3 linked regions of the Arabidopsis thaliana genome follow. Changing the gene in region 1 together with any one later gene gives a genetic interaction. Each region holds a gene or a part of one and is shown in the gene's direction. Other genes may lie near its edges.

What was found.
Region 2: of CUE1 (region 1) and CKX3, changing one enhances a phenotype caused by changing the other (phenotypic enhancement), as found in Arabidopsis thaliana (one study listed by BioGRID).
Region 3: of CUE1 (region 1) and PPDK, changing one suppresses a phenotype caused by changing the other (phenotypic suppression), as found in Arabidopsis thaliana (one study listed by BioGRID).

Annotation. Positions count from the first base shown.
Region 1 is NC_003076.8:12,587,077-12,590,837, forward strand, and holds the start of CUE1 (Glucose-6-phosphate/phosphate translocator-like protein), read left to right. Parts: upstream 1-1,664; 5' UTR 1,665-1,873; coding exon 1,874-2,257; intron 2,258-2,759; coding exon 2,760-2,882; intron 2,883-2,974; coding exon 2,975-3,127; intron 3,128-3,322; coding exon 3,323-3,408; intron 3,409-3,505; coding exon 3,506-3,590; intron 3,591-3,673; coding exon 3,674-3,761. UniProt on the Arabidopsis thaliana protein: Phosphoenolpyruvate/phosphate translocator that transports phosphoenolpyruvate (PEP), 2-phosphoglycerate, 3-phosphoglycerate and dihydroxyacetone phosphate.
Region 2 is NC_003076.8:23,046,534-23,050,294, reverse strand, and holds the start of CKX3 (cytokinin oxidase 3), read left to right. Parts: upstream 1-2,002; 5' UTR 2,003-2,049; coding exon 2,050-2,659; intron 2,660-3,761. UniProt on the Arabidopsis thaliana protein: Catalyzes the oxidation of cytokinins, a family of N(6)-substituted adenine derivatives that are plant hormones, where the substituent is an isopentenyl group.
Region 3 is NC_003075.7:8,869,156-8,872,916, reverse strand, and holds the start of PPDK (pyruvate orthophosphate dikinase), read left to right. Parts: upstream 1-2,045; 5' UTR 2,046-2,168; coding exon 2,169-2,441; exon of another isoform or gene 2,442-2,630; intron 2,631-3,597; exon of another isoform or gene 3,598-3,733; coding exon of another isoform or gene 3,734-3,742; coding exon 3,743-3,761. UniProt on the Arabidopsis thaliana protein: Formation of phosphoenolpyruvate. May be involved in regulating the flux of carbon into starch and fatty acids of seeds and in the remobilization of nitrogen reserves in senescing leaves.

The DNA of each region.
Region 1 (3,761 bases):
GTCAAATAGATATATAAATTGAAATAATAAATAAAATGGATACAAATTAAAAGAAGTTTGACCCAAAAAAGAAGAAGAAATGGATACATAAGAGCTAATAAAAAGAAGGTTTAAACTTAAAAAACAACTGGATTCTCTTTAACACAAAAAACTTGAGATGCATTTTGTTGACGCTAATGTTTGATAACATTGCTCCTTAGGCGTGCTATACTAGGGGTGTGAGCCAAAGCACAATTAGCCTTACCTAAATGAATTATTGTGTTGCTTAGGCATGTTAAACTGAGAGTATGAGTGTAAACAAATATCAGCAAGTTCGTCCCAAAAATGATAAATTAAGCGATGAGGTAAAGAGATTCCTCTAATTTAAAAACCACGTAGCGCTAAACAATTAATCTAAGTTTTGAATTATGATGCAGATATTGCTGATCGAGAATTTTACAACTAGGCAACCAAAGTTAAGAAATAGATTGAGATTTTTGATTAGGTTGAGGCACAATAGGGTGTGGTTATGGTACATTGTTTTGTATAAGGATCATGTATGCGTGGGTGGTATGGGACTATGAGAGAATAATACGCGAACATGATCAATAAATATTGACAAGGTGGTTGAAGAAAAAAAAAGATGAAACTCGGGTTCATATAGAAAAAAATCCAAAGCTGTGAATGATGCATGCAAAATTCGGATTAACCCATTTATTTCTTATGTATAAAATGATTAGTGCGTGAGATAAAAAAATACTCATGATAGATAGACTAGATAAAAAAATACTCATGATAAATAGACTAAGATTTTTATTAGGATTTTGTAAAAAAAAACCTTCAAACTTGTTCATTTTTGCAATTTTATTTCCATTTCCAACAAATGTAAATTAATCCTATGAAGTATAAAATAATACGCATTATAACATTTTTGCCTATTTTTGCTATTATCAATTTTATAAAATATTGATATATAGTTTTTTAAACCGAACTCGAAAAGAAGAGTTTAACCTTACCTTCAAAATTTTAAAAATATAATCTAATGTGTGTGACCTTATAAACGTTTATAATATACGTATAAGGATCATATTGCGTATCATTTTAGACTTCAAATGATGAACCTGCATTTGTTGGAGATGAAGGATAAAATTCCAAAAATAGATTAGTTAAAGAATTTTTTTGCACAAAGCCTATTTTTTTCTTTGATGTATGTAAGCTTATCAACTGAGGTTGGTCAAAAATGGATTGAATAAGAACATGTCGACCATAAACCAAATAATTTAGGTTTTAGATGTTTTAACACTTTGCTAGAAGCCGAGTATATATAAAAGGATATATGACTCAAGTTTTAGGACCGAATTTTGTATAGTTGGTTTGGATCTCCATAATCTCAGAGCTTGGTGGTCAAGATTGTGCCTCGTAACCTCGTTATCCAAAAATGAAGTAGAATGTGAGTCGAATATCGTGAATTCGGTACCCTCTCGTTAGCTCATAGTGCGTTGAACCCTTTATCTCGAATTTGTCAAAACAAATTGATATTTTGTCGTGAAAAAAAAAAGTTCAGACGAAAAATAGTGGTCACAAGTCTTGTTCGAATTGATACCCGAAAAAACATCTTAACCAACTTAAAGTAAAAATTTAAAATCGGAAATTTAAATATTACCCTAAAGTTTTAAAAGGCGGACTTTTCAACGAAGGTTTATGCTAAGGTTAAAAAAAATACAGAAACGCTTTCTCACATTTCCATTTCAATAAATATATATCAGTCGCCACCCAAATTTCAGAATTGCTTCTCTTAGTATTTGCTTTCACCAACCCACTCGACGGAGTCTCCAACGCCTTCCTCCTCATTCTCCACTCTCACACCACCAACTTCTGATTCCAGATCTCAACGATGCAAAGCTCCGCCGTATTCTCCCTCTCTCCGTCGCTTCCTCTCCTAAAACCACGTCGGCTCTCTCTCCGCCACCATCCCATAACCACCGCCGCTTCTTCAAGCGATCTAAACGTTTCTCCAAATGTTGTCTCTATTCCTTCTTTATCTCGTCGATCTTGGCGTCTCGCTTCGTCTGATTCGCCTCTCCGTGCTTGGTCCGGTGTTCCTTCTCCGATCTCTCACTCCTTAGACACGAATCGTTTCAGAACCGCCGCTACTGCAGTTCCTGAAAGTGCTGAGGAAGGTGATAACAGTGGTAAATTGACGAAGGTTTTGGAACTTGGCTTGTTGTTCGCTATGTGGTACCTTTTCAATATCTACTTCAACATCTACAATAAACAGGTACTCCTTTGCTTCTCTACATGCTTAGTCTACTCCACTGTTTTGAATCAATGGAGAACTCAGAAATCTTATAGTCAATAGGATACTGGAGAGAGATTTTGTTCTGCTGATTCCGAAATTGGTACTGTTCATTGTGTTTTGGCTAATTGTTGTAAGTTCATAGTTTCAATAGATTGAACTAATCTTAACGATTGAGATTCATTTTTGTGTTTAATCGTGTTTTGATTAGGATGAAGTGTTCAGAAATTTGAGAGATATTTTGTTCTGCTGATTCAGAAAATTTCAGTGTTTATTGTGATTTGGCAAATTGTTAGAAGTCTAACTTTTGATTCTATCAAAAAATGTAAAGGTTTAGTTCAATCATGTTTTGATTAGGATGAAGAATTCAGAAATTTTATTATATCTTATACAGGAGAGAGATGTGTTTCACTGATTAGTTGATTTTATTGTTTGATTTTGAGGGAATCAATAGTTAGTTTCTTGTTTCTTCTTATTCTTGCAGGTTTTGAAAGCTCTACATGCTCCAATGACTGTGACTTTGGTTCAGTTTGCTGTTGGTAGTGTGCTCATTACTATCATGTGGGTTCTTAACCTGTACAAGAGACCAAAGATCAGTGGTGCTCAGGTGTGTGTGTGTGTGTGTGTTTTTAATGGAGGCTGGTAAAAGCTGCTTGTTCTTGAGATTTGTCACTCACTCTGATATGTTTACCTTGATAGCTAGCTGCCATCTTGCCGCTTGCTGTTGTGCACACACTTGGTAATCTGTTTACGAACATGAGTCTTGGGAAAGTTTCTGTTTCCTTTACTCACACCATTAAAGCCATGGAGCCTTTCTTCTCTGTTTTATTGTCTGCTATGTTTCTCGGGGAGGTGAGCTCTTTTTTTTATTTGGGTTTTTCTTTGACGTCTCGGAGTTGATTAATGCACTCGTACCTATTGTCCTCCTGTCTGGACTAAGTTGCTATGTGATTCTTGTTTCTAATGGCTTGTTAATGATAGTCTATATTACTCATCGCTTTTGTTTGATTTGTGTAAAGCATAATTCGTTTACTAACTCTTTCTTAGAAACCTACTCCATGGGTACTCGGTGCCATTGTACCAATTGTTGGTGGAGTTGCACTTGCTTCAATTTCGGAGGTCTCATTCAACTGGTTAGTTTGTCGACGAGTATTGTGACATTTAAGTCGGTGGTTATCTATTCTTCTGATAACTCTCAGATATTTACTACGGTTACTTGTTTTGTGGTAGGGCTGGATTTTCGAGTGCAATGGCATCAAACTTGACTAACCAATCCCGTAATGTGCTGAGTAAGAAAGTCATGGTTAAGAAAGATGTAAGTTTCCTATGTGTGGATCAAACTTTCAATCTTCGTGTTTTGGAATAAATTAACTAAAACTTGATTTTGTGTCTCGGCAGGATTCTCTTGACAACATCACTCTCTTCTCAATTATAACATTGATGTCTCTCGTTCTGATGGCTCCTGTGACTTTCTTTACGGAAGGCA
Region 2 (3,761 bases), about 10 Mb from region 1:
ATATTCCATAGAATTAATAGTCCATAACTTTTTCGGTATAAAATCATAATCAAAATTAATTCCACAACTAATATTTAAACTTATAAAAAAAAAAATATCATGAGACGAAAAATATAGCATGACGGATTTGGATTGATATGAAATATAGCAGGACTGTTTTAGAAACACAGATTCAATATTTATTTTATTATTTTATCATCACCAAATTTTTTAATTATAATATTAATATAAATTATATAATTTTAATATTAAACTAAAATCTTAAAATTTAATAATATTATTTATAAAAATAAAATATTTGCCCTGTGGTATACCACGAGTTAAATTCCAGTTGCTTAATAATATTCTGTCTAAATTCTAATTTTTGTTATAGCAAATGGAATTGGAGTGTTTTTTTTTTATAATTGCTTAAGTTCAATTCATTAGTAAAAGATAAAAAAAAATTGCAGCGACAACAAGTTAACATGTGGCAAAAGAAGCAAACAGAACAAAATCTTGAGGATATTCCATGTCTTGCTTTTTATCGTTTATTTACGGCACAATGATTAATTACGAATCTACAAAGTTTGGCCTACGATTGTTAATTTATTAGAATTATCGGCACTTTTCGATAGTCGCGAGGAAGGAAATTAAATAAATTATTCAGACCTCAGAAGAAGCAGATCTTGTAGATTCTTTTGATGATGACCTAATTGTGACAAGGAAACATCATCTAGTAGGGATATTAATGAGAAATATTCTTCAAAAAGAACATTAATATATGTAAAGTATTATAGGTCCGATTGTTTACAACAAGATCGTAAAATATATTCAACAGGTAGGAAGAAGAAAATAAAACTAGCTGATGTTGTTGAAGTTTACATACTATATGTGTATTAAGTTTTTGATTAGATAAACCCAGAAATTATTTAAAAAATTGTAAACTCAAATTTCTTCTTGTTATTATTTTAAAAACATCATTTACTCTTATTTACATGCAGATGGAAGAATTCGAGTCAAGTTTAACTCTCACAAAAAACCTAGCCAAGTTCTAATATAAGTGTGATCAATCCAAGGGTCAAGATTTATTGTCCGTGGGGAAATATCGTATATGGTGATCTAAGGCCAATCTCCAATCCCCATGATGATTATGGTACATGCTCATTTTTTTTTTTTGCTATTTCACAACTAATCACGGTTACAGTGATGATTATGGTGGTGGTGGGAATGATGATACATTACAACATTATGTTAGTTTTAGCTATTATATCAGTTAATCAATTAATTAGTTTCATCTATAATATTGATAGACTTATATACATTTGATTACTCTATATAGTTTGTGAAACATTAACATGGATATCTATTCATAGGATCCAAACTGCATAATCTGAATATCAAAAGAAGCTACATTTTTTTTTGCTTAACCTCAACTGCAAAACCTCTTTGAGTCACAATATGAGAAATTACTACAATACTACAGAAACTATTAATGTAGTAATGTACAAAATGGACCGTGGAATATTTATGCAGAACCATTTAACTAGTGAGCGACACCGTGCGTGTTCAGACAGTTACAACTATTGCTTTTGTGGTCTATTGAAAGTTTGAAACCAGTGGTTTGCTAATTAGATTCTCACGTGACTTTGATCATTCATTGTAAATTTTTGTAATAAATTAACAAAAACATGAACGCGTATCGTGTCATACAGAACTTATATCATACATACTCTTTTAAATACGGAATTGTATAATTATTATATCAGCTATCTACTTTACTCGGGTCAACTGAATTTTTTTATTATAGGAATATACAGAAAATAAAATTTAGTTAAAACAAAATAATTTGTTTCAAATAATCTAAACTCTTCAATAATTAGTAGTTACTAGTTATATACAGAGAAGATACTAGCTTGCTCACTGATTTTTCATTTTTTTTTACACAAACAAAAAACAAAAAATCCGTACAATACATGTGTCTGCATGCGTGTCTATATATATACAGCTACTACTCTTCATTGATAAGAATCAAGCTATTCATAAAATAAAAAGACTTATTTCTCAAAAAAAATGGCGAGTTATAATCTTCGTTCACAAGTTCGTCTTATAGCAATAACAATAGTAATCATCATTACTCTCTCAACTCCGATCACAACCAACACATCACCACAACCATGGAATATCCTTTCACACAACGAATTCGCCGGAAAACTCACCTCCTCCTCCTCCTCCGTCGAATCAGCCGCCACAGATTTCGGCCACGTCACCAAAATCTTCCCTTCCGCCGTCTTAATCCCTTCCTCCGTTGAAGACATCACAGATCTCATAAAACTCTCTTTTGACTCTCAACTGTCTTTTCCTTTAGCCGCTCGTGGTCACGGACACAGCCACCGTGGCCAAGCCTCGGCTAAAGACGGAGTTGTGGTCAACATGCGGTCCATGGTAAACCGGGATCGAGGTATCAAGGTGTCTAGGACCTGTTTATATGTTGACGTGGACGCTGCGTGGCTATGGATTGAGGTGTTGAATAAAACTTTGGAGTTAGGGTTAACGCCGGTTTCTTGGACGGATTATTTGTATTTAACAGTCGGTGGGACGTTATCAAACGGCGGAATTAGTGGACAAACGTTTCGGTACGGTCCACAGATCACTAATGTTCTAGAGATGGATGTTATTACTGGTACGTACCACGATCTTTTTCACACAGAGATTAAAAAAAACAGTAATAGTGATTTTAACTTCGTACGTTTCTGATAGACAACAAAGAACTTCGTACGTTTTTCGAAGTTTTTTCGTCTTTTTCATTTTAGATCTGCGCGGCCATTTTTGGTTATGCTATTGTTTGTTTGTATTGTTTGTCTCTGTTTATTTATTTCTCGAACTTGTTGATAGCTTTTCTTCTTTTCACACATCAATCTAATCACCTTTTTTGGTCTTAAGATTAGAAAGAAGATACGGACTAGGTAAAAATAGGTGGTTGTAAACGTAGACGCATTAAAAAAATATTGGTTTTTTTATTTTTTGATAAGCAAAATTGGTGGTTGGTCTAAGATTATAAACTTGATATTAATGCAAAGGTCGATCTAGCAATAGAAGATTAATCAATATTCTTGGTGTTTTAACAACAGATTATTTCATCATTAAAATCGTGAAACAAAGAAATTTTGGTAGTATACATTACGTGTAGTTTTGTTAGTTTATTAAAAAAAATAGTATATAGTTTTGTTAAAACGCGATTTATTTAGTAACACATTAGTATATTACACGTTTAACCAACTAAACTTTTTTTTTTGAATAATTATGTTCTATATTTCTTACTCAAATTATGCAAATTTCGTGGATTCGAAGTCAAATTTCTGCGAAATTTACATGGTCATATATTATAAAACTGTTCATATAACCCGGTGAACAAACAGACAATTAAGGGTTTGAATGGTTACGGCGGTTGGGGCGGACACAACCGTCAATAGATCAGACCGTTTTTTATTTACCATTCATCAATTATATTCCGCAGTGGTTTGGGGTAAAAAAAATAGAAGAAAACCGCAGCGGACCAATTCCATACCGTTTTTACATACAAATAAACATGGTGCGCAACGGTTTATTGTCCGCCTCAAAAATGAAATGGACTAAACCGCAGATAAATTAGACCGCTTTGTCCGCTGCCTCCATTCATAGACTAAAAAAAAACAACCAAAAAAAAAATGGTCCCACGCCCATGATTTTACACGAGGTTTCTTGTGGCGTAAGGACAAAACTCAAAAGTTCATAACGTTTGGTCC
Region 3 (3,761 bases), on another chromosome or scaffold:
CAGATATGTTCAGCCGTGCGCGACGGCGAAACGAAACCAGAAGCTGGGTGGGTCTGAGACTCTTGACTCTCGAGTGTTTGAAATCTGTGTTTTTTTTTTCCATTAAAATAATAAAAATGGTTCAAAAAAATATACACAAAACGTCTACATTATCCCCAAAAATCTAAAAGTTCCTCAATTTTAATATGAGATTTTCTACTTGAAAGCACAACATTTAAGAATTACATAGTTATATATATTTCATTAAGAAAATCATTTATATCAACTAGAAATAATTCAACCAATAAGAAAAAATAATGCAGAATATTAGGAATCATAAAACATCAAATTGAATTAAATAAAGCATAGAAACTTGGAAACAAAAAAATCTAATGAATGAGAAAAAATTACTTCTTAATCATGTTACATAATGGAGAACAGATGGACTAATAATTTATTTTAATTAGAAAAAACCTTTTCTGTATAAACATTAAACAGTGATAAAAAAAACACTCGTTTAACTTTCTAAGATAATTGAATTGAGTGGGTCAAAAATATCCTGAAATATTAATCTCTAAAAATGTCAAAAAAACATATGCAAATATAAATATTTATATATGTTTTAAATAATTTGTAAGAAAATTGAACCATTGGTTGTAAAAATTTGAAAAAACAAATACTTTGAAGATATACCAATTTTTAGAAAAACACTGAAAAAGACTTAATTATTAAAAATATATTTTCTTCCATTAAATTTAATAGTCATTCACTTCATTTTATCATATATTTGATCAAATGATGGTTATCTCACCTAATTATCATTTATCAATTATCATCACCTAAATGATGGTATTGCAAAACATTGGACCGGCAGTCTGGCACGCAAGCGTTGGCTCACATCTTCCACGTAATTGCCACAATTTATGAGTCTTTGGAGTTATCTAATAGTTATACTCTAACCAAAAACATCACCAGAAAGTTCAACAGAGCATGGCACATAGCCACACACTCCCATAACATTTGGGTCCCTTAGTTAACTCGAGCATCAATGTATATGACACTTCCAGATTCTTCGGAAGTTCTAAGCCCTCTCTTTTCATTCTTTGAATGCTTTTTTTTTTACTGCCATGCGTGCATTTCCATAAATGTTACAAATTTTTGAAAAAATGGTCTCAAGTTATATAATATTCATGCTTGCTTCGTGAATTCCTTTGTCCGATTAGTAATCAAATGAGCGATTGAATTTTTTAAACCATTTTAAACTAATTAAGCCCCAATTAAACTTTAGTATGATTTACCCCCCCCCCCCAAAAGTCTTAACAGTTTAGATGTAATTGTATAAATTATTATAAGCATGTATCGCTAAGTTAATATTATAAACTTAATCAATAGATTAAGAAAAAATGCATTCATTATCTTCTTCTTTTTTCTCTTCAACATTCTTTTAATAACTTAACAAAATGATATATAAAAATGTATGCAACAGTATACAAACAAATTTTTGTAAATATATAGTTAAATTGTATACCACATCCCTCTCCTGGAACCTGGCTAGTCATATTCACACCGAGCAGAACCACAAATACTTTTAGGTTCCTACTCCATCAATCTCCTTTATTTCCTTAATATCTTAACATGTGGAAAACAAACCAAGCAACATCATTTTACCAATAAGATGGAGTTGAACTTAAGAAAAAGTTTTTTACTATTTGAAAATAAAACTATATACATATGACCTCATAATTTTGGAAACTGATTCTTATTCAAAACCTAACAACTTCTAGAGATCAATTTTAATGGTAGCCACTTATATGGTCGTTCAAAGGAAAAAGAACAACCGTGGAATGGACACATTAGCCAATCATAACCACATCTATCTTTCATCCACTCACGTCACTCGTCAAACCAAAATCTATAAACCTCCAAAAATACATAAAATATAAATAAAAAAATAGATCACATAAAGTCTACGTAACTAATAAGAACCAACAAAAATCAAATAAATTAGGATCAGAGAAGAAATTTATAGAACCGCCATTTCTACTCTCGCAAATAGCTAACCATCAAACACCAATTTCCATATCACGTAAGCTATATATATTTTTATTTTATACACTCCTTTCTCTCAACTTCTTTATTTTTATATACAACTCTTAAAAGTAAGTATATTATATTTATTTAAGTGGTTTATGCTTTATATAAGAAAGAAAATGACAAGTATGATCGTGAAGACAACGCCGGAGCTCTTCAAAGGAAATGGAGTGTTCCGTACGGATCATCTCGGAGAAAACCGAATGGTTAGTCGATCAAACCGGCTAGGTGATGGATCAAACCGTTTCCCTAGAACCGGTACAATCCATTGCCAACGGTTAAGCATAGCAAAGACCGGTTTGCATCGTGAGACGAAGGCTCGAGCCATACTTAGCCCTGTGTCCGATCCGGCCGCTTCCATAGCCCAAAAGGTAAGCCTTTCCATTTCAATCATTCTGGTGTATTTTCACCATAAAATTTTATACACTTTTTTATTACGTTTTGTTTTATGATTCTGACGTGAGATTCTTGAGAGAAACTATCACCGATCATTGGGTCGAACCATCTAGCAGCTCAATTATTATCGGTTATAACCCTACCGGTTATAGAATACAAAACAGGTTACGCCATTGTGACATTTGCTTTGTGATCTTGTGAGACGATTAATTATTTGATGTTGATTGGTTTCGTTACTCTTGTTTAAACAATCGAACGGTTCAAACTAATACACACATGTGATGTGAGATCATTTCGGTAGTAATACCAAATAGCGTCTGGCCTAAATTATGAAAGTACTATTTTGAATTAAATTATTGTGGAAACATGAACTTATTTAAATTCAAGTATTTTCGAAATTTGTAATAAAAAAAAACTTTTCCTCTAGATTCATTAGCCCTACTTTTCGTAGAAACAACTTTAATGTATTCAAAGACCACTTTGCTGCTTAAGTCAGACTCTTGTGCCACTTGGTAGATCCACCAATGCCACGTTTTGTTATTGTGCCAAAGAATACGTGAATATGTCCAAACGGCAATCAAATTCTTGGCGTAAAACACAAAAATTATGATACTAGTTTAAATCCACAATTCACCTTCACCATAAAGAATTCATGTATTAGAGATGGTATGACAAGAACTGGTTGAATTTGATGACATTTGTTTGCTATTGTTTTGGTTAAGTAAAAGTTTTGTTAAAAAGGAAAATAGCATCGGTAGTGGCAGATAGCAAGTGTGTGAGTGAGATCAGATATGGTTGACACATCTATGACGAGTCATCGCAACGAAACTTCTTTAATTTTGGTCAATTATATTACAATTTAGCATTTCGAGGTTGGAATTTTGGAATGATCTCTTGATAAGATAATAATGTATTTTTGATGACGTATCCATCAAAACTATAAATGATTTATATTAAATATGAAATTTCGACTGTATACAAGTTTTTATATTATAAAATTATTCGATGTACATATGATCATAATAATAATTATTTTTTATTTTATTTTATTTTTAGCTTAAATTATAAACATTATATTTAGCTTTTACATAATGGACATGTCAAATTTAGGATGGATAAATTTGATCAATTTATCTTTGTGCTTTAGACAGAATCTATTTTATCCAATTTTTGCTTTACTATATATATAGATACGTATATGTGTTCTTAAACTTGCACAAACATTTCTGCAATCTAAACCTCAATCAAAACAAACAAACAAAAAACCATGATGCAGCGAGTATTCACCTTTGGAA